Regions from separate parts of the Mus musculus genome. Here all the other regions are reported to be linked to region 6. Evidence: microRNA targets listed by miRTarBase, many of them from high-throughput screens and not tested one by one. Region 6 holds a microRNA gene; each other region holds the end of a gene's coding sequence. Distances are between the middles of the regions.
What was found. Region 6 holds the annotated microRNA mmu-miR-181a-5p (AACAUUCAACGCUGUCGGUGAGU, at 1,874-1,896, opposite strand). A microRNA usually pairs through its seed, bases 2 to 8, with sites in the 3' UTR of a target mRNA and lowers its output. Matches are read on the target gene's strand: a 7mer-m8 pairs with bases 2 to 8, a 7mer-A1 pairs with bases 2 to 7 and ends in A, and an 8mer does both.

Region 1: miRTarBase lists Olfm1 as a target of mmu-miR-181a-5p. Seed matches in the 3' UTR shown: 7mer-m8 at 2,779-2,785.
Region 2: the mRNA of Nat8l is a reported target of mmu-miR-181a-5p. Seed matches in the 3' UTR shown: 8mer at 1,947-1,954.
Region 3: miRTarBase lists Ppip5k2 as a target of mmu-miR-181a-5p. Seed matches in the 3' UTR shown: 8mer at 1,909-1,916 and 7mer-A1 at 1,867-1,873.
Region 4: the mRNA of Tsn is a reported target of mmu-miR-181a-5p. Seed matches in the 3' UTR shown: 7mer-m8 at 1,323-1,329.
Region 5: the mRNA of Epc1 is a reported target of mmu-miR-181a-5p. Seed matches in the 3' UTR shown: 7mer-A1 at 1,600-1,606.
Region 7: the mRNA of Idh1 is a reported target of mmu-miR-181a-5p. Seed matches in the 3' UTR shown: 7mer-m8 at 1,003-1,009.

The regions. Positions count from the first base shown.
Region 1 is chr2:28,228,951-28,233,188 of GRCm38, reverse strand. Olfm1 (olfactomedin 1) reads right to left here. Exons shown (of 6, transcript NM_019498.2): 6 at 2,453-4,135. The coding sequence ends at 3,461. Among named protein-coding and RNA genes, the nearest start is that of Olfm1, 25 kb to the right of the region's middle.
Region 2 is chr5:34,000,145-34,004,382 of GRCm38, forward strand. Nat8l (N-acetyltransferase 8-like) reads left to right here. Exons shown (of 3, transcript NM_001001985.3): 3 at 636-4,238. The coding sequence ends at 1,003. Among named protein-coding and RNA genes, the nearest start is that of Nat8l, 6.3 kb to the left of the region's middle.
Region 3 is chr1:97,704,398-97,708,635 of GRCm38, forward strand. It overlaps Ppip5k2 (diphosphoinositol pentakisphosphate kinase 2), which reads right to left. Exons shown (of 28, transcript NM_173760.5): 28 at 1,646-3,433. The coding sequence ends at 3,321. Among named protein-coding and RNA genes, the nearest start is that of Macir, 44 kb to the left of the region's middle.
Region 4 is chr1:118,297,614-118,301,851 of GRCm38, reverse strand. Tsn (translin) reads left to right here. Exons shown (of 6, transcript NM_011650.4): 6 at 815-3,338. The coding sequence ends at 1,048. Among named protein-coding and RNA genes, the nearest start is that of Tsn, 12 kb to the left of the region's middle.
Region 5 is chr18:6,433,971-6,438,208 of GRCm38, reverse strand. It overlaps Epc1 (enhancer of polycomb homolog 1), which reads left to right. Exons shown (of 14, transcript NM_027497.3): 14 at 902-2,258. The coding sequence ends at 974. Among named protein-coding and RNA genes, the nearest start is that of Mir1893, 55 kb to the left of the region's middle.
Region 6 is chr1:137,964,126-137,968,363 of GRCm38, reverse strand. Mir181a-1 (microRNA 181a-1) reads right to left here and starts at 1,909; the gene lies at 1,823-1,909. It overlaps Mir181b-1 (microRNA 181b-1), which reads right to left and starts at 1,725; the gene lies at 1,646-1,725.
Region 7 is chr1:65,156,040-65,160,277 of GRCm38, reverse strand. Idh1 (isocitrate dehydrogenase 1 (NADP+), soluble) reads left to right here. Exons shown (of 9, transcript NM_010497.3): 9 at 723-1,662. The coding sequence ends at 813. Among named protein-coding and RNA genes, the nearest start is that of Idh1, 21 kb to the left of the region's middle.

The DNA of each region.
Region 1 (4,238 bases), not on the chromosome of region 6:
GATTTTGATTCCAGGCCAAACTTTTAATAAAGAAAATTCATCCACAGACGATAGGTTATTGACTGATATATCCAGTTATTGGAATACGGGAGATTTAGTGGCAAGGAGCTGTTTTATTTGCTCTTCGGATGAAGCCATTTTTTCTTAGGTATTTAATCTCCTAGCAGTATATTTTCCTTAGCAAATACCCTGTCTGGGACAGCAGATCCATGTGGGCTCGTCATGTCCTTATTTTGTCTTCTGGTGACTCACAAATGGGCATTTGCTTGCTTCTGATTTTTAAAAACGGTGTCATTAAGGAGAGATTACACAGAAATCAGCCCACAGTTACTATCGGTGATCACCGCTCCAGCTGATGGTGTGCATACAAGACTCCATCAAATCAGGGATCGGAGAGAGGCCTCGAAGCTTGAGTGATCGCTTCATTGAAACTTGGGCTTTTAGATGAACAAGCACCCTATGTGTCTCATGGGGTGGGGTTCTGCATGCTGTCTCACCCCAAGATAATTTGTAAACGTATAATTCATGAAAGTATGAAAATGCCTCCCACCTCTGAAAGTTTTAACTGGAAGCTCCTCCACTCTGTGGCCTCAGCCATGACTTCTCAGGGAGCCTTGCAGCTGACTGTAATGAGGATTAGCTTTCCCCAGACCGCCCCCTCTTTTCTCCTTCCTCTGATCACCCCAGTGAATGAATCCTGGGAACCTCTAGGCAGAAGAAAAAGCAAGAAAAGATTTCTTCTTTCGTCTTTTTTTTTCTTTTGTTTTTCTCTCTCTCCCTCCTCCTCCCCCTCCCCCTCTCCCTCTCCTTCCCCCTTTCTTTTTTTCTTTTTGGTTTGCATTTGGAGACTCACCTATTTTGGATACTTGAACTACTTCTCTCAGATCCCAGAATATGTTGGATGAGATTGGTCACAAGGATGCAGAGCCTGTGGGAGGAAGATTCTCTAGCAGGTGTATGTGTGGGGGGAGGCCTCTAAGATGTTTGTGCAGTGGTGGGAGGGATCTGCGGCCAGAAGAGAGGTGGTCAGGGGCATGCTAGAGCTCTGTGCCTGGTGATCCCAGTGAGAGAGGGCCAAAGCAGGCCCTGTCTCTTACAGAAAGCTGTCCAACCTGCAGGTTGAGTTTGGTTACATTCAGCGGAGAACAGCTATGAATGTGGCCAAAACAAACATCAGGAATTTACTTCAAATATTAAGAGATATTTTTGCAATTTCTTTTTTGTATCTTGAACCTTGTAGTTAACATTGTGTCAAAATGTCAAAAGGTTGGACACACCAGATGGGCCCTCGGTATCAGCAGCCCACTGGGGAAGGGCACTGGGATCCAGGTTGTGGCCCCCTGAGTTGCAGCGGCTGGGAACTCCACATCAGGCCTGACTGATCTGTGCTCAGAACCCTCCCAGACCCCTTCCCACCACTGTCCTGTGGCTCTAACTATTGTCAAGGACTAGATAATAAGAGAGCCTCCTATGCCCAAGCTGGACACAGTCCCCAAATGCCCACAGCTACTTTGTTCCTAGTTGCTCACCATGGAAGTGACGCCAAGTTCTGTGTGAGCACCAGGACTACTGTCTGTCCTTAGACATCCTCAGACTCTCAGTTCTACAGTACAACCACACATCATGGGTATCAGCTTGTCCTGAGCACCATCAATGTCTTGCTTGGAGACCAACCAGCTGCTGTCCCAGGTCATGGATGGGAATGTGGGAGACTAGTTTACTCACTGATTGGGGAAACACATAACCTGACCCATGTCACCAGTGTCCACCCTGAGTAGGGTGACAGATGCCCAACTGTGGAGGTGAGGTGAGAGGAGATAGTTCATACCAAACCCACACGTAGAACATAGACAGCAACCACCCATCAAATCTGATGCCAGTCACATCACACATGAGCCCCTCTCATGCCATCACCTCTCTGGTTGGCATTAAGTTCCAGGACATTCTAGGAAGGCTCTCAACCTGAGGCTGTGACTTGTTCTACAAGAACCTCTGCTCTACTTGGGTGTTCTAGGATGTTATCTGCATGTTGAGTCCTTTGGAATTGCTAGGGTCTACATATCTTGGGGTCCCTGGGCACCTCCTCCCTAGGTCTGTGGCAGCCCTTGGCGAAAGGCTGGGTTGGAAGTGGGGTGGGTTCACCATCATGGTCTTATCAGCATCAGTGAGGTCTCGGCTGACATATACCAATGGCGCCAGAGCTGTCTGACATGGGTGGGTACCTGCTCCAGGGAAGAAGAGTCAGAGAAGGGGGTGAAGGAATTAAGGGTGGGGTCTCTGGGGCAGCCCTAGGTCGGGGGAATGCCAAGCACTTTTTGGCTTTGGGAAGTAGGAGGTCATAATCCACTGTCCTCTTTCCCTTCTGAGTTCTCATGACTTAGAGGGTAGCTACGACATCCAGGGTTGCCCATCACATATGTCCCTCTTGCCACAGACAATAAGCAAATCGAGGTTATCTCCTAATATCTTTATTGTTCCTTAGATAACTGAACAGTACAAAGTTGCCCTCTTTGACTTATTTATTTCTTTAAAAAATGATCTTTCCACACATGGCTGCCCTTGGGGAGTTCCTTCCTGTAGGAAACGGAAGTTTCCCACGATGCGTCCTTCCCATCCATGGTTACACAATTCAGATACCTTGACAAGATAAGAGTTCCACTGGGTTATTATCAACATGAACTTGACTATGTCTCCTATAAGGGCGAACACTGATTTTTTTTTTCTTTTTAGAAACAGAAACCATCCACTTATCAATCCAAACTACAGCATTGCATGACAACATTCATTGCATAAATTGAACACACGGAGTTACCACCTTGGGGGATAACAGACGGACACCTCACGATCTAGCTACAGGGTACGCAAGTTCAACAACGTGGGTACAGCAACTTCACCTACGCACACCCACCATCGCTTCGGGAAAGTACTAGACACAGGTCCATGAGCTACCGGGAGTCTCAGCACAGTTAATCTAAGAGACAACAACACGGTCAAGAAAAAGGCAGCTGCGATATGTGTGGGCTGAAGCAGCCTACACTGAGCGAGTGCCTCGGGGGCTGGGGGAGCTGGTTGGGGAGAATGGCCATCACATCATCTCGCTGGGCACAACCTAAGGAAATGTCCATGCAATCCTAACAGTGGGTTGTTCTTGGGTGAGAGGGGCCAACAGTCATCGCCTTGCTTCTTTGAGTTATTGGACCAGAGAGGGATGGGGTGGGATGGGGACAGCCAAGGAGCCTTGGGCTGCAGTTCCATCCACATACATGGCGGTTTCTTCTGAAATCTGCGGCCCACCTGCAGGAGTAGGAGGAACACAGAGAGGACACCATCTCTCGGCGTCAAAATTGCGCTGATTTCTCAAAATCAGGACTGTTAGTATTCTTGGAATCATTTGGCAGCTGTTTCATGGAAATGTCCTCGGGGTGAGGACTTGGACCCTTGGCTTCTGGAAAAGTGGGAGCTACAACTCATCGGAGCGGATGACATGGAAGAGGGTGACATTATAGAGGGTCTGATGGCCATTGTTCCAGGCGTACAGCGCGCGGTCTTTAGGGTTGTAGTCCAGCATGGAGATGTGAGAGTATTTGTTCTGGAAGGGGATGTCAATGTACTCGTAGGTCGAGGCGTTGGTTTGGTAGGCATAGTGGACCTTGGTGCCCCCCGAGTAACCGTTGGTGACATAGAGGGTGCCGCAGATGATGAAGGCCTCACCGGCACTGCGCTTGGGGTAGCTGGTGTTCCAGGTCTGGAGGATCTGCAGTGAGACAGGATCCAGCTTGCTGATGACAATGTTGCCTGCGTTCTGGTTTGTGGCATAGACAGCCCAGAGCCCATTCTCGTCCACCATGAGGTCGATGTCTGAGTGGCCGCCCCAGGCATAGTGATACATATTGTTGTAGCCAGCATAGTCCAGGCTGCGCGTCTTCAGAATCGTCTCTGTCTTCAGGTCAAACCTAATGATAATGTGACTCTGGAATTTGTTGAAATAGATGGAGCCATTGTAGACCACCTGGCCCGTACCTGACCAGGGGTGTGGGAGACGGTGAGAGGTAAAGTTGTCCGTGTTCATGAAGTCCACCATGGACTTGTACTCACGGACGAAGCGGTTGTTGTGATAACCATCCATGTACCAGACCTGTGGGGAGAGCAGACATGGTTAATGTCCCGCTGCAAGTTGAAGACATAGAGCATCCTGTCCTACCTTCAGGAACGCTAGACTGCCCCTAGTCTCCACTCAG
Region 2 (4,238 bases), not on the chromosome of region 6:
AGGAAGGTGACTGGATTCCCTGTGTCCCATGCCCGTCAGAATTCCTCCCATCCAAACTCCTTGTTCTCGCCCCCTCCCTTCTTGTAAGGGCTGGCTAGCCTGGTGTCAGGGTTACTGGGTTTGGGGTGTGTGTGGCTGTCTGTGGTCCCTCGCTGGGTCAGAAAACATTCTTCTGGGTTCTCATTCAGTTATATCCCTGCAAAGATACTGGGGGAGGAGTATGGCAGACCAAGGGCTGGGATTCAGAGTATGTCAGCAAGACATGCTCTGCCCTGTGGCCCTAGCTGTGGTTGTCTGTGGGTTTTCCTGTGGTCTGGGGGTAGGAATTTGCTTTGTCAAGGGCTGTGCAGCTCCTAGGCACCTCCAACTACTATTCTGGCCAGGACAATAGAGACTTGGGCTGGAGCTGATTGTGTCTGCTTGTGAGGTGGGATCCTGTCATGCAAAGTTGGGCAGGTTTGCCCGGACTGAGGCTTATGGAGTGTCTCGTGGCCTCCCCTGGTGTCCAAAAGAGCTGAAAGGTGAGGATTGAGCATCATTGTGATACCCTGACTTGGCACTCAGCTGGAATGGGCAGCTCGAAAGTCTCTTCAGTCTTCCATGCAGAATATCCCTGATTGTCATGTCCTTCCTAGGTTCCTGTTTCTGGGTGGCTGTGCTGGACGGCAACGTTGTGGGCATCGTGGCCGCACGGGCCCATGAGGAGGACAACACAGTGGAGCTGCTCCGCATGTCCGTGGACTCGCGTTTCCGCGGAAAAGGCATCGCCAAGGCTCTGGGCAGGAGGGTGTTGGAGTTTGCCATGCTGCACAACTACTCTGCAGTGGTACTGGGCACCACAGCCGTTAAGGTGGCCGCCCACAAGCTCTATGAGTCACTGGGCTTCAGACACATGGGCGCGAGTGATCACTACGTGCTGCCTGGCATGACCCTCTCGCTGGCCGAGCGCCTCTTCTTCCAGGTCCGCTACCACCGCTACCGCCTGCAGCTGCGCGAGGAGTGACCACCACCACCTGCCCACCACCCTGTCTGCCCCCGTCCACCTCTGCCCTCTTGCTCACTGCCTAGTGCGGCCCTGCTTTCCAATGCTCACCTTGGCATTTGTTTGGGTTTTCCTTTTTCAGCATCATGCTGGTTCATCACCTGGCTGGTTCTGGGGCCACAGGGTCCCAGTCCAGAGTGCTCATCTGCAACACTCTGGTGGGGTGGATTGTCTGCAGCCATGGCCCTTGCCTCCCCAGCCCATCAGAGTGGCTCATCATGCCTTGAAGAGCAGCATTGTGGACCATCTGAACTATCCACAAAGCTGCCCAGCCTGCCTCCATCAGGGAAGGACTAGCCTTGCCCATCAAGCACAGAACCTCTACAACAACCCCCCCCCCCCCAAGGAGCAGAACCCTGGCCCCCAGCCAGGCTAAGGCTCAACTATTGGCCTCTGGAAGAGTGGTCTGCTGGGCTGGCCAGCCACTGCCCCATGGGAGGCTGAGCTGGTCCCAGGCCCTGCTTTGCCCTGTGCATGCTAAGGACATGGCCTGGCTGCAGCATGCCGCATGCCACAGCCCCCTGCCCCACTATCCTGCCCAGCCTGGACCTCAGGCCTGAGCTGGTGAGCTCCCTTGTCCTGTCCTGAGCTGGCCTCTGGAGGGCCTACCTGCCTGACCCTGTCTACTCTCTGGTGAGGCCTGGCCTGGCCTAACCTGGCTCTATCCACTCCTGCTTTGCTTCGAAATCATCTTACCTCTTTCCCTTTTTGGTCCCCGTGCCTCCTTGCTCTGGCTGACTTGGCTGGTCACCCGGGTTTGGTTCCTGTAGCAATCCACTGCACAGCATGGTGGGGATTTCATGGGGGTGGGGGGGACACCTCCCCCAACACCTGTTAGACCAGGTGGCCACCTCCCAGCTGCCTGAGGTCCTGTGGCCTCATGCTGTTTGTGGGGTCTGCCCTGTGAATGTAACTAGCCCAGGCTGTTGTTGGCAATGCCTGCCACAGCTTCTCCCAGCCTGAAACAACCCATTCTCTAATAAGTTACGTAGACAGAATAGCACTCTGCATGACTTTAATTACTGGGACAAAATGGTAGTTTGAGCCTCCAGACACACATCTGTGTGGTGCTAGCATACGCATGGTCTCTGGCCCCATTTGATGGGGGTGGGTGGCCGGGTAGGTGGAAGATTTCAGTTTGAAGTATGGAAGGAGACTCTAATTTAGTGTAAACACCCCTAAAGTGCCCTCACAACACAGTCTGTGAGGCTCAGGTTGCCCCTTGATTCCTTGTATGCAGGATTGAGGGGACTGGAGGGTCCTAAAGCCTCATAGGAAGGGCTGGGCACTGCCTCGGGGGAAGAAGCTGGTGGTTGGGGTGGGTCCAGGTATCACCCACTACAGACTACTCTGCTAGGTCAACTGTTCCTGGCCTCTCCTTTTTGAGGTTCTACTTCAGATCCAGCCTAGATGGGGGTGGGTATGGCCTAGGACAGGGAAAGGCAGTAGCTGGCAGTGGTCATGAGGCCAGCTGAAACTTGGACTTAGCTTTAGTGCAGGGGGTGCATAAAGGCCCGTCCACATTCCTCTGTGTGGGGCTTGGGGTGAGGAGTGGCAGGCTAGGTAGACCATAGAGCTGGGCCCCTGGCACCAAGGCTACATTATTAGAAAGGCTCTTTAGAGTTAATGAGTTGGTGGAACAAGCCCAGCTTCCTGAGGGGCCTTTTGTCCTGTTAGCAATTGAGGCATTTGCAGAACACTGTACAGACCCCGCTCTCCCCTGTACATTCCTCCCTGGTGGTGCCCGGTCCCCGCTTGGGGATGGGAGTTTTGTAGACTGTACAGAAATTGGCACCCTATTTTCTTGCAGCTCTCAGATTTTGTTAATCTGGATTATACAGACAGATGTAAAGTGTTTTAGCAAAATGGAAAACAAACAGTTGTGCCTTTTTTCTCTTTTCTGTTTGGATTGGTCTCGGCTCGGGGCTAGTCTTAGTTGTTGTGGGGGTATAGGGACTGCTGGTGTCTGAGGCCTGTGGGGTCAGAGACTGCTGGTGGGTCTGAGGCCTGGGTAGGCCTAAGTGGGAGCCAGGTCTACTGGACACCACCAGCTGCCAAGACTTCTCTGATCCTGTGCCTTTGGGGCCTGCAGTCTGGGGTTGGAAGGTGTGGCAGGGCACTGGGATCACTTGGGCCAGGGCTGAGCTTGGGGATCCTGTAGCCACCCATGTCTCCTTGATACTGACCTGGGATGAGCTCATAGTAGATTCCTCCAGCCTAGGAGCCTGGGAGAAGCCGTGGCCCTTCCAGCCTCTTGGCACCTTTCCAAGGGGATCTCTCCCTGCTGAACAACCCATGGATAAAGGGAAGTTTGCTGGGCTCTCAAGTATTCGTTGCCTTCTGTTGCTGCCAACACTTGGTAGAGATTCCAGGAATGGATGGTGGGGTAGGCTCCAGCTGCATCAGGATGGAGCCTCACCAGGCAGTATGTAGCTTGGCAGGGCCTGAGGCCCTGGAGACATACCTGTGTCCCTGGGCTGGCGGAAGCTGAGTGTGCTGATGGCTGCGCCTGACTGTGTCCACTCCATCATCCCAGCCAGAGCTCTGAGTGCTCTGCACATGTGCACTGATGTGAATTTTCTGTTTGTTGAGATTCTGATGTTTCTTCTACCTCTGTGGAGGCCCTCCTCTCTGCTCCACTTGGTGGCCATGTGCTTGGTGCCCCTCCTCTGAGTTGGCTGGCCATCTCCCCCTCCCTTGAGCCTCCAAGCACCTGAGGTGGCCAGCAGCTGTACTCTGGGCCTGGGAAGGCCCAGGGAAGGCCAGCCTGGGGTCTGACTCTCTGCTCAGGATCTGTGGCTTCCAGGAGTCCTATTGTTTGCTTGGAAACTTTAGAGTAGGGAGGGAAAAAGAGATGATGGAATGTCCCAGAATGTCAGTGTTGGATGACCCTACAGCTCAGATGTGGTATACCATTGCTTGACTGTTCCCAGGCAGCTCCCACTGCCCAGGCATGTGTCTCTGCAGATGCCTCGTCTCTGCTGTAGGCCAAGAGGCTGGCCTGCATGTTCTAAGATCTGGCCCCTGAGTGTAGCGAGGCCATGCCCTGGTGGCCATGACAGCCTCTTCCATGTCCTGGTCTCACCCCTATGCTTATCCTTCCCCCTAGCACTGCCCTGGGGCTGGGCAGCAGCTAAAGGCATGTGCTAACCTGGCTGAGGTGGTAGATGGCTGGCTTTGGCTGGGAGGCCCTGTG
Region 3 (4,238 bases), 40 Mb from region 6:
TTCTGCCCTCTCTTCTGCAATGTCCCCTCAACCTCAGGCGTGTAGGGGGTTGCATTGTTAACTTAATGCTTATTAATTGGCATCTGGCACTCCACAGTCAGTTGTTCTCTGCATTAGGACCCGATGTAGATTTCCGTAACAATCTCCATATACTACAATAAGAATCTGCTGATGAGGTAAGAGAGCTGTACTTATCTGTTGGGAAAATGATAAATATTTAGACTGTATTTATAAAGGGGCCCATGACATCTGCAGTCACAGGTAGGTAACTTGGTTCCTAGTACTAGGCAGGACTTCCCTTCAGTGAGTGGAGCCTCAAGTCCAACTACACAGCTATTGGTTTCTCCCAAGATAGAAGTACTACTGTTGTACTTGCTGGGGTAGTCACTGTTGTGATTCATGAGTTTATAGCTGGTGAGGACTAACATCTTACCTACCTTGGCAGCTTTTGTAGAACCTTTGGATACTGTTATCTCTAGTCCCCAGGGTGATTCCCTCAAGTCCTATGTCCAACATGTGTGCTATCTTCAGCAATAGATCCTTCAGGTTCTGGGAGGCAACCTAGGGCAATAGTAATGCTTTGGCAATCTCTTGGTCTACTCGGACCAACAACTTGAGAATAAGCTTTCCATTCCTGGAACTGTTTGTTTGTTTGTTTGTTTTGTTGTTGTTGTAGTTAGACAGGCTATGGCTTTTGGAGGAAGTATTATTACCCCAGGTGGCATAAGGCATAATTCAATTTAAGTTTTTTATACATATTTATACTTAAACAGAAAATAATGGCTTCCTATGGCCTTTTCAAACATCCTTACTGCTATTTACGCTCCCCTCTCCTTCTCCCTCTGTACAAGTCCGGCCTCCAGTTAAGGGCTCCCAACAGTCCTGAGTTTTACATCAGATTCCTCTTGAAACTTTAAACTTTCTTCATTGCTGTCACCTATCGTGTTTTTTGAGCTGTACAAATATCGAGCACAGGGCCACGTGCTCTGCCACATCACAGTTTCCTTTCTGTCTCAATTTTCTGTTTGTCTTAAAATGTCCAGTATACTTCTTTTTAATACATGATAGCTGTGTATTAACAAATTCCCTCTTGAGTTTATTAGTCATACAGAATGGACTATGTACCTCATTAAAAGCAGGCCAGCAGGGCCTGCCAACAGGCTATTAGGCCTGAGATATAGGATTCCTGAGGGTTAAGGAATGAATGATAAATTATCAAGACTAACAAACAGCTCAGGGTGACTTGACAATTCCTCAAGCTTGACTTCCTCATTTCTTTGCTGGCTGGAAAAGTGGGCAGCAAAAAATAAAACCAAACAAACCCAACCCCAAAATAAATAAACAAATAAAAAATAAACATGTTTTAGCACTTAAAAAACTCTCAAACCCCACATCTCCTGAGTACTGGTAGAAACAGCTATTTCAGACAAACTTCCATAAATGGTGGTGATGTTATTTTGCTGTTATGAAATTGACTCTCTGATAGTGTGTTTTAAAAAACAATTCTATGATTCTTGCAAAGAGATGAGCATACAAAGCAACAGTATTGATTGGGGTGAATAAGGTAAAGCCGAAATTACTGATTAATACTGAGGAAAGCGAGTGCTAACATACTTCATAAGGCAGAGGACAATACACTGCTATGTGTATGCTCACTCATGAGTTTTATTGAATAGTACTTAATGTAAAATGCTGCTGGGGATTTTCTATTTCAAAACATAAAAGAAAGAACACAAATAAAATGCTTTAAATTCAAGTCACTCTTATTCTAAAAAGAATTTTAATTCATTCCACTTAAAAAATAAAAGTAGTCTCCTCACCCCCCATGAGTACATTAATCACATATTCACACACAGAGAACATACATACATTCGATTGTTTACAAGATTTACCACCATATAATCCATTTACATTCAAGTGAAGTATATATGTACTTATTTATTTGTATATATTTGGAGCTTCTGTATCTCATCCCTTTTTAAACAACCAAGATAATATAATACGCCTATTCTCTAGAAGTCAGTTCATGTAAGATTATTTAAGGTTAGAAGTCTCTTTTGAAGAATTACACTAACTATACAATAAGGGTCCAGTACTTCTAAACATAAGCTTGAAGCTACAGCTTACTACCTTAAGTTGCATTATAGCCAATGTTTGAGATTTTTATTTAGCAGGTTGTTTAGTTTGTGAGTAATTTAAAATATTTCAAACAATTACTTGTGCATCAGGGAGAAAGAGCACCAAGGAGAATGATGTCCTTTTATTTAAATATTAGACGAAATTACAATAGTCATCTCCATCTTTCTTCCAAATCTCATCATTTGTAAACACCATTTACTTACTACAAATGTTCAATCTTTTGAGTTTTCTTGGTGAAATCATCAAATACACTGGACATAAGAATGGAAACACAAGAACTATACCCTGGATGACACTTATGAACAGCAGAACTCGCATCATAGACCTGAGTCCATAGGTCTCAAGAAAAACTCAGAAAATCACGTGTAAGATTTACAAATTTAGCAGTTACAGTTCATAAAAAGAAACTCTAAAAAATTGCCTCTCTTGCTAATACAAAAAAAAAAAAAAACCTTTTCTTGGTGAACCAAGAAATTTTTCTTGATGGTAAAGATATGTATAAAGAAAATATTTTCTACAGATTAACTTGTAAATTTATGTGTATAAAGGTATAGTTCTCCCACCTGCATTTGTAATATTTTAAATAATTCACAATAAAAAATTCAAAGCACAAATTGAAAAAATAATTCATGGTCTATATAATCCAGTCAATAAATATTGCAGCATATGTTACTGTAGCAATGACAAAAACATTGTAATGTAAATGGTCAACGAGATCTCTTTGGAAATGTACTTTTTAAAAAAAGTCATCAACACATGATCTTTGCCTGTCCAATCCCACTCGCTAAGTGTAATTCTGTAGAAATGCATGTGTGTAGAGGCACCTGAAGAGAGTGCACTTTGGTACCAGTCAGCCGGGTTCCTGTGTCCTTTGTCTCTGCCACAGGCACATGGGAATCATCACAGTGACAGCAATAGCAGTTGTCATGAATTTCCTTACACAAAGCGGACAGACATTCTTTTGAACATTTCTAGATCCTGCCAGAGCTCCTTGTTTGAATAAAAACAGGAGGTCCTCTAGCTTTCGAGGTGTTTAAAGAAATACACAGATGTATAAAGTAAAGCATGATAACACATGAATCACTGGCTCTGACCAGCTTCAGTCAAGGTTTCTTAGACATTCTTTTTGCTAAGCAACAAGTCCCTTTATAAGCATGGAAACTTTCGGTTCTGGTGTGTGCTCATCTTTTCTTCCCAGTGCTTTTCTTGGGTTCATGCCCCTCGGTTTTGCTATTTATGCTCTTCTTCCGAGATGAGGTATGGGGAGCCATTGCCTGAGATGGTCCGCCGGCTGCTATACAAACAGAAGAAAGAACCAGTGCCGTTGGGATTTGCACCAATCAACAGGGTTAAGAGAACGCTGGTGGGCGATGTGGCTGTATGCGCTACAGTTATGATAAAACATTGCAGGCTTTCAATATGACACTAATGTTTTACAAGTCAACACAAATACAGAAAAGTAACGACAAACAGGCTGTGTTCCTAAAACCAGCTTTTTATAGTTCACTCTATATTCTTCATAGCAAATATTCATTTCCATCATAAGTACAATCCATTCTATTAATCTCATTCATCCTTGTTGCCAGGTCTTTCCCCTTAGCTCCAGATATAGAAATACAACTGCCAATTAGAACTGTCTCTGCTTATATTTGAAAGGAAATTTAAATGAAACTTGCTTAAAACTGGATGTAATTCCCTCTCTAGGAACCATATCCTCTTATGCCTTCCATCTCATTCCTATGCCAAGATGGAAGGCTGGAAGGCCAGAAGCCCTCCCTCTCAACTCAGAACCAACATCAGAGTCAGGCCTAGTCAGAGAGCTAATCTCAGTGTAGTTACAGCTCTACTTTACTGTACAGGCACATGTCTGTCAGGCTGACATTTCTTCATATGACCCACAATTGCTTGGCCACAGACAGAAAGAACAACCTTAACGATGGTGTTATCAGGATAGCAGAAAGTGACAGAATCGGACAGTTACTGGAGCAGAATCAACTTGTGTGAGGAGAAAGCAGCACAGCGTGGTCCTCCATCACTCCTTCCTAACACCTTTTATCTGAGAATCGTTCTCAAGGTCCATCACAGAACTTGGCTAAATC
Region 4 (4,238 bases), 20 Mb from region 6:
GTCATGACATTTCTGACAACTGTATTAATTCATAGAGTAATTTTAGAGAACAAATTAACTGTGTAGGTTAGTGAAAATTTGAGACATTCTCAACATGGAAATGGGGAGGGGGATACAGAAGCCCATTGAAAAATTGTATCACCAACTCTGACTTGTTAGAGGCAGCTGATCAGCAGGCTTGAACCTGAGCACTGTCATACTGTTAGTGGCTGGGGTGAAGTGTCTTGAATACTATGTGTTGGTATATGTTGAAGTCCCTTCTCAGGGAATCCTGGCAGAATGGATAGGACTTCATGGGGAAGGAGATCTTGTGAGTTGGGTCTTCAAATCCTACCCGGCCTTCAAGACGGTTGAGCTGACTTAATTTTGACTTCTTACCTGTCTGTCTTATTAATTCTAGGTGGCCAGGTGAACTCTCAGTAGTGTATTATTAGATAGGTAATCATGTGGCCTATGTTTGAAAAGATACCTGTGATTGTTGTGACAGGTTTTCTGTTCTATACAGTAGCTATTGAGCTGTAAAAATGACATTTGCTTAATTTACTATAACTTTATTTCATAATAGCCAGCTAAAGTCATTAGAGATTTTAGAAGATGCTCATTATGTCCATCACGTGTAGCAGACATTGCCTCAGTTCTGGTGGCGTTTGTTTCAGAGAACCTTCTGTTTTAATGTGCTTACATGTAAGCATCTTGAATACAGAACATCAGTTCAGTGTAGCTGTTTCAATTTGAGCTTCTAGCTGTGATTAGTGGGAAGGTGTGGAGGGAGAACCCACATAGTGATGTATCCGATTTCTTTCTCCCTGTGCAGTCGAGGCTGTCTGTCAACAGTGTCACTGCTGGAGACTACTCTCGGCCCCTTCACATTTCTACTTTCATCAATGAGCTGGATTCTGGTTTTCGTCTTCTCAATCTGAAAAATGACTCCCTGAGGAAGCGCTACGACGGCTTGAAGTACGATGTGAAGAAAGTAGAGGAGGTGGTCTATGACCTTTCCATCCGAGGCTTCAATAAGGAGACAGCAGCGGCTTGTGGTGAAAAATAGGAGCTTTTCCCTGGGGCTGGCCTTGCTGGCGCCGCAGTTGCCAGGGAGGGCTAGCTCAGTGCCTCTTCCTGTAGTTAGCACACCAGTTGCTAAACACTGCGCTTTATTTTCGTAACCAGCTGTGTGCTGTGAGTGTCAGAATTGAAATACTTTTTGGATCTAAACAAAAAAAAAAAAAAGAAAAAGAAACCTTTCCACGGATGGGGTTTTTTTGTTGATTTTCAGTGCACTTGCCGTGCCGTGTTGTCGTCGTATTACCATTTTGTCAACAGTGTGAATGTTGGTCCCTTGGTAAAAGTCCTTTCTTGCTTACCTGACTGTTGATGTACTGACTGACAGGTTTGTTGTCTTGTTTGTAATTTCTCCCACAAGTAAACAATGATGTTTTCTAGGTCCAGATTAGTCCTCCATTTCCAGCTATAGCCTGGATGCAGTGTGAGAATAAAATGGTTGACAAGCAAGGGAACTTTATTTTGCCCATCTTAAGTCTTGTAAGTGAGTTGAATTTTTTGCCTAGGAAATTTGAGGCCCCGACTCTGTCCCTGCTACTAAAACAGAGCAGATGAAACTGTACAGTTCAACCCAGCAAGGTCAAGGTAGAAAGAGCCTCTGGAAAAGCGTTGTGATGTCTTGTGTTGGGTTAGAGCATCTGTTTTCTGACATCACCTTACACCCCGGCTGCCGTAGCAGTTAGTCTTTACACCTGCCTAGAGCTAACACCTGTGTGCTGTATTTGTAAACATGGAGACCTTTTCTCAGCAGCCAGCTAGAACTGGTCTGGGAGTAGAAAGCCATCCTCATGTATTCACTCCTTATCTGTACTGAGGAGTGGCTTCTTAGAGACATCAGTGCTGTTTGGAGTAGAAGAAAGTAAAATTTGGCTTTAAAAAATTCATGTGATTGGCAGTATTTTTTGGAATAAGAAATTGAAGGTTGTGATTCTGTCAGTACATTTAAAATGTATAGTTTAGGGTAGTCATGTAAACTTTGGGCTCCTCTATGCCCTCTCCTTTTCAGATCGCATAAGAATTCATATGTGGCCATTCTTGGGGTAGAACTGAAATTATTAAAGTCAAGGCTGGTGATGTAGCTTTTAGTGATAGACTTGCTTGGCAATGTGAGGCAATGGTCCATCCTAGGACTTCAAAAAACTGAAAGAAAAAAAGAAAAAAAAAACCCAACAAAAATAGTGTAGGTTTTTTTTTTTTTTGCACCCTCTGACAGGAAGCTGCTGCCATTACTAGTGTAATAGGAAGTACTCAGGGGTGTCACCCTTTCTTTCTTGGTAGCATTTTGGGCTTCATGTTTGTGCAGTGGGATCTTTGACACTGGCTTTTATCAGGCCATGGTTAGAGACTAACTGGAAAGTGGGGCCTGAAAGTGCAGGCTTGTGCTCCCAGGTACACAGGAGGCTGAGGCAGGAGATTGGCAAATTCAAGGCTTCAGGGGTAGCCTGTCTAACTGAGTGAGATCCTGTGACAAAAAAAAAAAAAAAAAAAAAAAAAAAAGACCACCCACCCCCACACACACACACAAGCAAAAAACAAAAAACACCAACCAAAAAGGCTGGGGGTATGTTTCAGTGACTTTCCCTCGCATGTTTGAGGCCTTGGGTTCAACCCTTCGTTGTGCAGCGAGCGGGGTGGCAGGAGGCTGACTCTAATTTCCCATCCTGAGGAATGAGCTGTGATTGCTGTATATTGTTGGACATGTAGACTAGCTTTCTTCATGGTTCTTTTTGCAGGGTTAGAGTAAGGTATTAGGCAATTTTTGTTAGTTTACCATTTGAGACAGGGTTTTGCTGGTAGTCCAGGCTGGCCTGGAACTCGCACCTCTGTTTCCGTTTCCTGAGTACAGGATTAGACTCTTGAAAGTGTCTGGGAAGGTAGAAGGCTTTTCAGTTGCATGGTAGTTTCACAGGCTCTTGCCTGTTCTTGTGGGTTCTGCTAGACATCATTAAAGCTCTTGTCAAAAGTTTCATATTTTCCTCTTTAGAGACAGAGGTTGTAATGTCCTGCCTGTAGTGTTGTCTAGGCTGGTCTCAACCTCCTGGGCTGAAGCTCTCCTCTTGCCTCAGCCTGTGAGCAGCTGGGACTCTAGGTCATTGCCACCATACATAACTCTTGAAATTCAGTTTCAGATGCAATGAACAAATTGCACTTAAAAGTGAAGGAGTATGTTCTAGTGTTGTGATTCTACTTGAGAGTTTAGAAGTGTCATGTTGATAATTAGTTGTGTTCGTTACTGGCTTGTAAAGCAATAAAACTGTTTTTGGTCTCTTTGTAAAGTAGTGTGCTGCTGTTTGAACTCTTCTTCTCTATGGAGAATCAAATTGTTCATGTTCTGCTGGCCAGTAGTGGCCCACACCTTTAATTCCAGCACTTGGTAGAGGCAGGTGGATTTCTGAGTTCGAGGTCAGCCTGGTCTACAGAGTAAGTTCCAGGACAGCCAGGGCTACACAGAGAAACCCTGTCTCAAAAAAAAAAATTTCATGTTCCTTGCTGGCTGAAGAAGCCTGGAGTGGTAAGCCTGAGCTGTTGTGTAAGGGTGACACCAACCAAGACACTAGTCACTCCCAGGGCTTTGATGTAAATGCAGATACTGTCTGCATGATCGACCTCCATGAAGAAATTAAAGGTGTTTGAATTGAAGATGTTGAGAAATATTGCCTCTGGTTTTAGTATACCTTTTGTTTTGCTGACCCATGGATTAAGCTCAGATCATCACATATGCTAAACATGCATTCTACCACTGAGGTACACAGCTCCCAGAATTAGTCATTTATTTTTTGAGACAGGGTCTCCTGTAGCCCAGGCTGGCCTTCAATTTGCTGTGTAGTTGAGGGTGATTTTGGACTTCTGATCCTCCTCCCTCTACCACGAGTGCCCAGGTTGTGTGTTCCATGATACCTGGTTTATGCCATGCCAGGGATCAAGTCCAGGGCAAACGTTTTAGCAATTGATGTATAGCCCCAGCCTCAACACTGTTTTCCAATTTTAGAAAATTAGGTAGGGCAGCTGGAGAGATGGCTCAGCAGTTAAGAGCATGTATAGCTTTCAGAGGCTCTGAGTTGGGTTCCCAGCACCCATGTCAGTCTGGTGGCTCAACTGCCTTTAAATTGATTTTATTCATGCAGTGCTTACTACAGTGGCCGTGACAGTTAATCTTGGTTGTCAATTTGACTGGACAC
Region 5 (4,238 bases), not on the chromosome of region 6:
CATGTGGAGGAAGAAGAGAACCAGACCCTGCAAGTAGCCCTCTGACTATACAACGTAATTGTGTAAAGGCTGAAAAAGAGTTCAAGCCTGAGAAAATGACTCAGTGCTTGCCAGTACAGCGTGAGCACCTGAATTCATAGCCCACGGTTTTAAAGACGCTCCATGTAGTGTTGGGTGCCTGCAGTGCTTACACTGTTGGGTTACAGGAAACAGTGGCACAGGCAGATCCTCAACTCCATGAACTTCAGGTTTTCTCAAAAACAAAGGTGAAGATGGATAGAAGAAAGGCACTTGCCGTCCACCTCTGGCCTCCATGTGCACACACACACACACTCACATCCCAAAACGATGATAAAGGTTGGGGCCTACCACGATGGCTCCGTGAGTAAAGGCACTTGCCACCAAGCCCAACAAGCCAAGTTTGATCCCAGAACCTGCGTGGTGGAAGAAAAGAACTCACTCCCCAAGAATTGAGCTGAGACACTTACATGAGTACATGTGTGCATGGACATACATACTAAGTAGATAAGTGTAAGAAGAGAAAGCAGCTGCAATTGTAACTTTCAGAGCGTGAGACGTATTGGTGTAGGGGTGTGGATCTTTGGTCAGTTGGGTTCCTGGACAGGGTTTTGGTGTTGGGGGTGTGGATCTTTGGTCAGTTGGGTTCCTGGACAGGGTTTTGTCAGTGCAGTTGGCATGGAGTTGACTGTTGACCCCTGACTTACCTGATTTCTGCTTGCATGATTTTCATAATTACAAAAATTCACAATCCTTTGTCCCATCGCCCCATAGTGATGTTTCTTCCTATTGTTAAAGATGACTAAGGCTTTTAAAGGAACGATGGTCTTCATTTGCTTAGTTTGTACATGACTGTTGACTAAAAGAACTTTTATCCCAACAGGGAAAATCATGAATCGGAAAAGCCAGCACTGAACAACATAGCAGACAACACAGTAGCAATGGAGGTGACGTAGCTTCCTGGGAGCAGGACTGCATCCTGGGGACATGGTCAGGTGCTATGCATCAGAGCGTTGGAACGCAGGGAGTATGGAGAGCACTTGTGCGGTTCCGTGGCAGCTGTGGGGACTCGGCAGCACTGCGCAGCTCTCGAATCTCTCGTGCTTCAACCTTTCTTTTCTTATTGTTAATAGGAAAAAATCAACATCTGTAAATTAAGAATACAGCAATTATCTGTACAGTACTGCATATTTGTAATACCCTTGTATATATGTTACTTGAATACAGAACTGTTCATTTGTGATGCTTTGCACTTGGGGGCGGGGGGTGGGGGGTAACTGCAACAAGAGTGTGAGCTGTGAGATTGTGTAGCTGGTGTCATCACATCATGTGCATGGTGCGGAACCTGCTGTCTCTATTTATTGTGCCGTGTTTACAGGTTTTGTACACTGTACCCTCATTGGTTCCTGTGCTGTAGTAAATGTGTTAGGTAGCTGTGGACTCCTTGGTATTTTGTAAATGGTATAACATAACTTGGTTCCCTCTGGGTCCTTGAGTTTTCTGTGTATCATGTGAAAAAAAAATGGTGACATACATACAGAATTTTACAAAAAAAAAAAGGCATCAGTTTTTTAAAACGGGGAATGTACTGTTCAATGGGGATCTTCCTGGTCTACTAGCATTAGGACGCGCAACAAGCTAAAAATGAAGTCTCTTGAATTCTCCCGTCCCCGCCTGTCTGCAAGCTTGGGCGGCCCTGGTACTTAAAGCACTAATGTTATGTTGCTGCCCTACAAACAGCCCAGTCGTCCCATTTCCTTCCACACCAAAAAGTGTTAAATCAAGTACACAAACGGAGTCCTTACAACTGGAGTTTATGTTGTCTTGCCCTTTTTTTTTTTTAGCACAAAAAGATGTACTTTTATATTGTGGAATTGTTTAAAGACTTCATTCTTTACTTGTTCTTACAGAAAGGATATAGGGGAGAAGAATGCGGTAATTGCTGTCCGTGTATCGTCATTCCAGTTTGTAAAACAGCCAGCCAGCTTTTTTCCTTTTAAGATTCTCCAGAAGGCTGCGAGGCCAGAACCACAAATATCGGGTGCCTTCCTTTGGAAACATTTGACCTCTCTTCTGTGAAGAGAATGGTACTTACCAGACTACTACTGCTTTGTTAGTACCGAAGTCTGAATGCCCAGTCCAATGGCATACGTTATCCTTAAGGTTTTTAATCCCACCTGGAAACATTGTGATAGAATTCTCACAAAATAAACCCAGGGCATTACATGTTGACAAACTAACGTGCAGTGGTCTTTGCCTTTTGTTTTCAACCCCAGAACTTGTGTGACTTTGTTTCAGTATAGGGGCTTGGCTAGAAACAGCAAGGAAGAACTTCAAGTTCATGTTCTCAGTGATTATTTTGACATGTCTGTCTACAACAGTGAAGGAAAGCCCTGTACTGACTTATATTCTCATGGAGGTGAGAGTAAATAAGATGGAAAGCAAAAAGGCAGGGTCGCTGAAGAAGCGCAGCGAGCCAAGGATGCTCCCAGTCGGTCTGGGTCAGAGACCTGAGCAACAGAGGCTGTTGGGCAGAGGAGCATTGAGGACTCTGGGGACTCTGCCTTCCATACAGAACCGAGCGTGGAAAGGAAGAGTCCCACTCTGCCTCAGTATCCAGACTAGTCTTTAGCAGTTGACGGCCACAGTTACCCCAGGGACTTTGTGAAGTACTTGGCTCTGTCTCTGTGCTTAGAGGGCCATTAAAAGTTGCTTACTGGCCAGGCCTGGGGCGATAATCTCAACAAAGACAGGTGGGTCTCTGAGTTCGAGGCCAGCCCAGGATATGTACAGAAACCCTGTTTCTAAAACAGAAAAAAGTTAAAATAAAAAATAAAGAAAGAAAATAGTTAATCTGTTTAGTAGGGCACATGAGAAGAAAGGGTTAAGAAAGGCTTCAGAGGGGCAATGAGGGCCAGAGTTGATTCCCAGAACTCAGTAAAAGCCAATAGTGACCGATGCTTGTCATCCCAGGACTGAAGAAAGGAGGTGGAGGGTGGTACAGCCTCTGGGCTCACTGGTCAGCCAGACCAGCCTGCTCAGACCAAAGACTGCAAGCAATGAGAGACTGAGAAGCCAAGGTGGGCGGGCCTCTTCTAAGGGACACCAGGAGGGTGCCCTCCACATGGACAGACAGACAGAACTTAGTTCAAAGTGTTTTAACTGAGCAGGTTGACCCGGCCAGGGTGGAGCTGGAGACTTGAGGTTACAGAAAGCAAGGGACAGGAGAGTAAGCAGCAGTGGTGGCAAGGCAGGTTGGAGTTCATTTTATCTCGTCTCAAAGTAGACAACTAATGTGATGAACTAATTCCCACTCACATTTTAAGGAGGAAACGAGATTTGTCTTTCCTTTCCAGTGTCTAGTCAGTGCAACTAAACACTTAAACTGCTGTCATAAATGACAATTCAGGATCCGAGTTTCTGAAGTGCACCCTGCAGTGAGAATGAGGCCAAGGTCCTCAGAAGTTTGCCTGCTCTATCTGCAGGCAAATTCGTAAATGCTCTTGGAGAGGTTGATATGCAGCTGTGCTGGCTGGCAGGTCCTGGTCCATGCAGCAGCTTTTCTGTTACACCACAACGGGACTCAGGAAACATTCAAAGGAATACACATTTTTTAAAAAGAGGTACCTGTATTTGGGGGACTCCTAAACTATGTTTCCCATACTTTTGCTGCCATGTTGCAGTACTGAAATCAAGGACATGATATAAACAGCAGCTTAAACAAGAAGGCCTCAGGAAAGTGAAGAAAGGCCACAGTTGCTGACAGTCCCAGGCTTAAAGTCACACCTGCTGGACTCCAAAGATGGTTGTGTTTGTCTACAACTATTTTATGGGTAGACCAATGCACACAGTTTCCTTGGTAACTATAATAATGGTTACCAAGGTAAGTTCAGAGGTCACTATTGCTCTAAACTTTGGTCCAATTCATGAACAAGACCTCCAGGCACTGGACAGACACTGGCTTTTTACCTAGTTGGAAAAAAAAAAAAATGTTCTTTTGAACTCCAAATTATAAGGGTTGTGATTTTGGTTTATGGTTGGTTGGTTGGTTGGATTTTGGTTTTGAATTTTAGTTTGAAAATAACAGCATCGCAGGAATAGACAAACAGCCCATCACACTAAGAAATGTGTATTATCTGTCAGGTGCTAGAGCAGATGCTCGGGTCGAGCAGGCAAAGCCCAGCCTCTGTGCTGCTTACATCGTAGGCTTTGCACTGAAT
Region 6 (4,238 bases):
ATATATGTATACACACACATATACCTATATATCTACATATCTCCATTACCTTAGCATATATACGAATACACACACACACACATACACACACAAATACACATATGAAATGAAATACTATCCAGGCTTAGAAAAGTTTATCAACAAATATATACCTGGATGAATTTATAATCAATGAAATAGAGGCCAGTGCCGCAGGATCCACTTAAATATGGAACTTAAAGGGAATGATTTTATGGAAGAAGAGTAGGAAGTTTGCTACCAGGGGTGGAATAATACTGGTGATTTGGTTTCACCAAGACCAGCTTCCATTAAAAAAAAATCTGCACAATTGGGAGAGAGCAATGTTTCAAGATGTCAAATTGTGGGCTGAAGAGAAGTAATGAGAGAACACACAAATAGAGACTCTTCTGCAGGTTACTAATTAAGTGACGTTTCCAAACTCATAGCTTTTTAAGATAGAAAAAAGAAGGGGGCTGTTCAGTGAATGAAGCAGGAATAGAAACTTTTTTTTGAACTTCTTGTTTTTTGTTGAGATTAGAGCCTTGTCATACGTTAAATGGAACGAAACAGACGGTGGGAGAAAGGAGTTATGATAGATAGAGATGCCCCAAGCAAGGCAGGCACTTGTGAACTAACTACGTAAAATACTGTGGGAATGAATATTCTGAACACTAGAGCAAGGTCCCAGGAATGGATTTCTGTAGTGGGAGTTGAATGTATATCATAATAAACTGATCAAGAGAGAGAAAGGACAATATGTTTGATAGATTTTTTCCCAACGAATTAAAATCTATTAGGTACCATGTACTAGGTACCATGTACACACTGTATGCTGAACATCCTGTTATAAATATTAACTCCAACCACTGTACTTACTATTGGAGGTGATGAACCTTAATGACAGATGTTCTTTTTGAAATTATAGAGCCAAACTAGTTAGGAAACACACACACACACACACACACACACACACACACACACACACACACACACTTGCTTGAAGACAGTCCCTGGAATCAAGTCTACCATTTCAGAAGAAAGTAGAGGGTAAATAAAGATGATGAACTATAATCTTAAATCTGAGGTCTCTCTGGGGAAACAAATCTATTGCATGATTATAATGAGCCCCTGGATAACAAAGTACTTGGCTATTGAGGTACTATCCCTCTGCCTACCAATTCCATAGAGAGTAGAGCCATTTCAGCGATTCTTTATGCAGAGCAAAAGAATTCCCTCTTGCTTCAAGCCCATTTTGACCAAGAAATCTAATGAAAGATGAGGGGATGGTTATTTTCTGTGTAACAATGTGACGGATAACGGGGCAGGAAGTAAGATATTTCTTTGGTTCTTCCTCCCACCAGCACAGCAGAGCAGGAAGCCGTGCCAACCCAGGGCTACACAGTTGATTCTGGGCATCCAACACTTTAGCATTTTTAAGAAATGCCCCATTTGTAACCCCCAGGAGTATAGAAAAGCAGTATTCTTATATAAATTAGTGACTTCCTCACAGAAATAGGACTTGATATGAATTGAATAAACAAACCTGAAAGTTCAGACAGCAGAAGTTAAACCGAGAAACGGCGTTAATACCCCCAGGACCTCTATTAGGGAGGGAACGTCTGTTGATTGCGACAGCAAAAAGCGGGGCCACAGTTGCATTCATTGTTCAGTGAGCTTTTCTACACAGTTCAACCCACCGACAGCAATGAATGTTGATTGTGACCTTTGTAAACATAGTCTCTGAAGAGGCGGGGAGAATCCTGTCGGGTCCTGCTTTGCGGTTCTGTCTTCAGCAAACGCAGAGGGCCATGGAGTAGATGATGGTTAGCTATAGGGTACAATCAACGGTCGATGGTTTTTATTTGAATTCCAAACTCACCGACAGCGTTGAATGTTCACTGAAGCAACCTGTGAGGCAGAGATGTGCTGATTTAAACAGTATCTGTGGGAGTCTGGAGCAGGAGGGAGGCAGAGGAAAGCCCAATCCTTTAACCAAACCTGTCACACATTTTAAACCATTTCAAAAGAGTACAGAAGAAAAGAAGCAGGATTCCTCCAGCCCAGAGCTTGGCAAACCTCCACTTTGTGCTGTGTCAAAGAAAAGAATCGGATTTTTTTTTTTCAAAAGGGAAGAAAAGTCCTTTTGGGGGGAGCTTAGTTACAGGCTGTTAAAGACAGGGAGAATTTATCATTCAACAAAATTGGAACTATCAAAAAGCAAAACAAATAGTATCTAAGTATCTCATAATTTAAATATTGGTATGTATATAATAAGAACTGCAAGGACGCATGTAGGTCATGCAGAATCAAGCAGAAACCACTTAGGTTTTCTCAAGTTACATTGCTAACAATTTTGAACTTCTATGTTTACAATGTGCATGGAATAAGCATTTATTTTACAATAGGCATTTTAATTAGTATAATTTCTTTTAAACATACTTATTTTTAAAACAATCAAGGAATCAAACCAATTTAGCACATCTTTCTTTGCTTATGACACAAGACTTTAAACTACAATGAAAATTAATACAACCTATGCCTACTGCCTGAAATTCAACTCCTCTCACTTTGGTTATTATATCCTAATATTGTTATTTGTTTTGATTGAGTGGATCTGGCAGTAACTTCTATCCATTTCCTAGGTGTTCTTGAAATGAAGTGCATTTACAAGTTAGTATGAACTCTATTGAGCATGTCTTCAAAACTGATTTCAAATATCAACTTAAACAAAAATCCCTTTGTACTCCTCAAAACTAGGGTAGAAAGTTACTACATTATACTTATGTAGACTCTTAAGTGGCTTTAATAAGTATATATATATATATATATATATATATATATATATATATATATATATGTGTGTGTGTGTGTGTGTGTGTGTGTGTGTGTGTGTGTGTGTGTGTGTAACTATTAATAAAATATTGGTGAACCATTCAGTCCAAATTTTTATACATATTCATTTTATTTACTTAGAATATTGTATGCTAAACCTGTAATCATTTATTATCTTGTACACGAAGAGATTACAGGACAAGTGTCTCTGGCTGGTATTTTGAGGTAGATAAGGTAACGATCTGCTGATGGCATGCATTCAGACTTCAGATAGTTACAAGACATAAAACTGATGAATCTGAATAGTCCTGTGTGGCTTCCTTTGAGATAGCTTTCCTGCAGAGGGCTGTCTCTTGTGGAAGGAAAGCAAGTCTTCCTGGGACCATCTGTGTTATCAGTTTCACCAGAATGCATGTTGCTCATGTTCCCTTGCTTGACCACTGCACTATCATATTCAGGCCAGCATCCCATTGCTTCTATACATACCTGTCATTGCTTTTGATATCATTTTTTCAAGGCTGCTGAGCTGAGACTCTAAGCCATGATCATTGCCTTATCTCAATATACAAAATTGGAACTACGATCAAGCAATTTCCATCCGAATCACAATTAATAGCAAAGCACCGCAATGTGAGGGGTTTCCAGAACCTTCTAAAATTCTCTGTAGAAAATATAAGTCCAAATTTCTCAAATTCTTAGAATAAAATTACGGAGAATACTATCATGAAGTTCTTAGGAGATTGAAAGTGATTGGTGTTTAGTAAGAAATTAGATTAAACATCACATCACTGACATATTTTAACTCCTATTTATCCAATGAAACATGTACTTTTCTCATGGCTATAGTTTTTGATGAGAAAAACCTCTCAATAACTTAAACTCACTCTCCATGAGGAAAAGCACCTCTGCTCTTGCTGCACCTGCCTCACAGTAAGAGAATAACTTCAGGACGGTATTCTACAGGGGAAAGATGTCTACTTGCTGATTTAGCTTACCTTTCCTCGGCTTTCTACAATGCTGGTTCCAATCACTATTTTACTAGCTAACCTTGTCTGCACTGTTATTTTCCAAATTTGATAATTGGCTGGAATATTAATGTTGGACAGTATTGAAATTTTACATTTTCTGTCAGGTGTCGAGTCTTATTTGACTATTTTTAGAAAATGTTAAGATTCCAGGATTCTAAATTGGTGTTAACCATCTGCTTCCTTGCAGTTTTTCCTGAATCAAGAGCCACCAGAAATATGTCATTTGTGTGCACGTAGGCAACCATTCTCCCTTCATAATTTTTGGAAGGTCTTCTGGACAGGTTAAAACTGACTTGCACCATTGCCAAATTTACTTTAGCTTTTATTTCTCCTCCCGGGGCTTTGGAAGCATTAAGAAGTTCAGCTTTGCTTAAGGTT
Region 7 (4,238 bases), 73 Mb from region 6:
AAGGAGAAATTATAAAGTCAGCCCCAAAACCATAAACACATGACAACAAAAATGGACTCATCAGGTTATGCTTGCATGTTTGTGCCTACATATACATACGTATGTAACAATAATAAATGGGGAAGAAGACTATGGATTAGAGAGTGGAGGGGCATGGAAAGAGCTGGGACTTGAGAATGAAGAGAGGGAAGGACCAGAGGAAAGTAATGTAATTATATTTCAATTAAAATGTACAAAAGTTTAAAATTTTAAACAAAACAAACAAAAAATGAACTCTTACTTAAATGTAAATTAATACCATTTCCCCACCAGTACACCTCAGAGATCTGTTACAGTCGGTTTACTACACGTTTCTTAGATTTCCAGCAAAGATACATTTGCAACATCAGCACAGTGGTTTTGAAACCTACTCTTCGGGCATTTATTAACAAACTTTAAGTGGAATGGTTTCAGTAACATTGGCATTAGCCTGACCTAAAGCTCCTGGTAGTTCAGAGCCGTACAGCAGGGTCTCCTGTGAATGTGTGCACATGAGACCCCACTGCAGGCTACCCTGAGCACAGGCAGCACCAGGAACCTCAGTCATGGCCCACAGATTTGTAGCTTTTTAACATTAATGAGTTCTCTTCTAGAAGTGTGAGTAGCATTACTGTGATTTGTTTTTAATTACCTCCTGCCTTGTCAGAGAAAAAACTAAATTTCTTTCTTTTTTCTCCCACCAGTGTACAACGTTCTGACTACTTGAATACATTTGAGTTTATGGACAAACTTGGAGAAAACTTGAAGGCCAAATTAGCTCAGGCCAAACTTTAAGGTCAAACCTGGGCTTAGAATGAGTCTTTGCGGTAACTAGGTCCACAGGTTTACGTATTTTTTTTTTTTTTTTAGTAACACTCAAGATTAAAAACAAAAATCATTTTGTAATTTGTTTAGAAGACAAAGTTGAACTTTTATATATGTTTACAGTCTTTTTTCTTTTTCATACAGTTATTGCCACCTTAATGAATGTGGTGGGGAAATTTTTTTAATTGTATTTTATTGTGTAGTAGCAGTGTAGGAATTATGTTAGTACCTGTTCACAATTAACTGTCATGTTTTCTCATGCTCTAATGTAAATGACCAAAATCAGAAGTGCTCCAAGGGTGAACAATAGCTACAGTATGGTTCCCCATAAGGGGAAAAGAGAAACTCACTTCCCCTGTTGTCCATGAGTGTGAACACTGGGGCCTTTGTACGCAAATGTTGTACTGTGTGTGGGAGAGCTATACAGTAAGCTCACATAAGACTGGAACAGATAGGATGTGTGTAGCTAAAATGCATGGCAGACGTGTTTATAAAGAGCATGTATGTGTCCAATATACTAGTTATATTTTAAGACCACTGGAGAATTCCAAGTCTAGAATAAATGCAGACTGGAGGATTCTGCTCTTTGATTTCTCTTCTCCTGTGACCCAGCCTAAGTATTATCCTACCCCAAGCAGTACATTTCACCCATGGGCAATAATGGGAGCTGTACCGTTTGGATTTCTGCTGACCTGCTGCATTTCTTTTATATAAATGTGACTTTTTTTTCCCAGAAGTTGATATTAAACACTATTCCAGTCTAGTCCTTCTAAACTGTTAATTTTAATTAAAATGAAGTACTAATGACTCTTCTTTGAAGTGTTTATTATGTGTTTTTATTTAAAAAGTGTTTTTCATTTCTTTTCCTATTACTGTAATAAGATACCTAGATAGAAGCATTTTAAAGGAGAAAGGGTTAGTTTTGGCAACAGTTCAAGGTACACTCCCAGTGTAGCTGGGAGGTCAGGGTAGCAGGAGCTTGAAGCAGCTGGTCCTGAAGTAGAGAACAAGGAATGCATGCTAGTGCTCAGCCTAGAAACCAAGATGGCGCTTCCCCTAGCCCTTAACAGAAATCAGAGAATCCCTAGTGTATATACTTAGAGGCCATATCCCAGGTGATTCTGGGCTCTGTCAAGTTGAAAAGTAACACAGACACAGACACTAGATTATATCCTAGCCATGGGAATTTGATTTGAAAATATTTTTTCTCTTAAGAAGTCTACTGTGAGACAGCTGTGGTGCGTATCTGTGATCTCAGCACTTGGGAGGCAGAGGCAGGCAGATCTCTGAGTTCCAAGCCAGCCTGGTCTACAGAGGGAGTTCCAGGATGCCCAAGGCTACACAGAAAAACCCTGTCTCCAAAAACACCAAAACAAACAAAAACGTTTGCTGAGGAGTGAGGTACATGAATTAACAGACAGTGAGGGGAATCTGCTCTGGAAGCACAGAGTAGTGCTGCAAGATCCTGCTTCCAGTGTAAGGAAAAAGGACAGACCTAAGGGCCTAATAAACTATCAGCAGACACTGCATAAACTAAAGAATGTAGGCATTGCCCTGTAAGTTAATAAGGAGACAGTGAAGATTTCTAAGAAGGGAAAGACATGATATGTTTTCAGTCTTAAAAACAGCACTCTTGGGGCTGGAGAGATGGCTCAGTGGTTAAGAGCACTAACTGCTCTTCCAAAGGTCCTGAGTTCAAATCCCAGCAACCACATGGTGGCTCACAACCATCTGTAACAAGATCTGACACCCTCTTCTGGAGTGTCTGAAGACAGTTACAGTGTACTTACATATAATAAATAAATAAATCTTAAAAAAAAAAACAGCACTCTTATAAATGATGTTTGGTGAAGGGGGGAAAGGATAGCAGACACTGGTGAGGGAGGAAGACTGCTTAGGAGGCAACTGTTAACACATTAATTGAAAAACGTTGAAGATCCAACTGGCAGGTGCACTCAAGAAAATGGGATAGAATTCTGAGATCCTAGAAGGGGTGGATGGGGCTGGAGACACAGTTCAGTTAGTAAAGTGTTTGCAAGAAGACATGAAGTCAATCCCCAAATACACAGAAAGAAAGAAGAAAGAAAGAAAGAAAAAGAAAGAAAGAAAGAAAGAAAGAAAGAAAGAAAGAAAGAAAGAAAGAAAGAGAGAGGAAGAAAGAGAGAGGAAGAAAGAGAAGAAAGAAAGAGAAAAAAAGAAAGGAAGAAAAGGAAGGAAGGAAGGAAGGAAGGAAGGAAGGAAGGGGAAAGGAAAGGAAAAAGAAAGAAAGAGGGGGAGGGAGGAGAGAGAGATGGATGCTGCATAAGGAATACCAATCATCCAAGGCTGACCTCTGGCTTACCCATGCACACGTGTATATGCCCATACATGTATGCATAAACACAAGTTGAGTAGGTTTCTCTATAAGCAAGAGATGTGGGTGGTGAGGGAGCAGTAGGAAGCCTTCCTGGCTTCTTTCTCAAAACTAAGAGAAGGCTCTTCTCATCCCAGCACCTTCAGTGGAGGAGGCTCTGCGAATTTGGACTCTCCTACCTCAAAAGTCCATTAGAACCAGTGACACGGTTCACCCAATAAAAGCACCTGCCACCAAGCTTGACAACTTCAGATTGCCTTCTGGTACCTAAATGTTGGAAGGAGAGATGCTGACAGTTGTCCCCTGACTCTAACACATGCATGACCCTCCACCACTAACCCTCCAAATAAAAGGGGGGAATTTAAAAATGTAGAACAAAAAAGTCAATGCGTGGAGTGGCTGTCTCTCATTTTCTGGCCTGCCCTCCTGGCAAGCTTGAGCTCAGGCTGTAGACACTGCCTATACGTGAGGCCTTCCAGAATCCAAGCAGGCAGTGATGCAGTATGCACATCTGAACTAGTTTCTCCGTGCTACCCACATGGTAACTCCAATCTAAACCTACAGTCACGGACCAGCTCTCTTGCCAAGAAAACCTCACAAAGCAGAGGAGGCCCATGCGGCATGGGCACTTCATCCCAGACAGCACAAGTTACAGACAACCATCTGACCGATTCTCAAGTGGGAGAAGGTTCTAGTGTCCATCAGTTTCCCCAGATGACCCTAGGGCAATGGGGGGAAAAGCATATTGTTTCTAGCTGAAACTATTAGGAGAGCCAGGCACACTTGGGAGGCAGAGGCGGGCTGATCTGTAAGTTCAAGGCCAGCCGATTCTGCAAAGTGAGCTACAGGATAGCCAGAGTTACAGAGAAACCCTGTCTCGAAAACAAAAGAAAAACAAAACAAAACAAAACAAAAGCCTATTAGGAAAACAGGACAAAAGCAATACATATTTTAATCTTCTATATAAAAATGTAAGGCATTTTTACCAAAGATCATAAAACTCCTAACTTGCACTTGAAGCTGACCTCAAACTCACTACCCT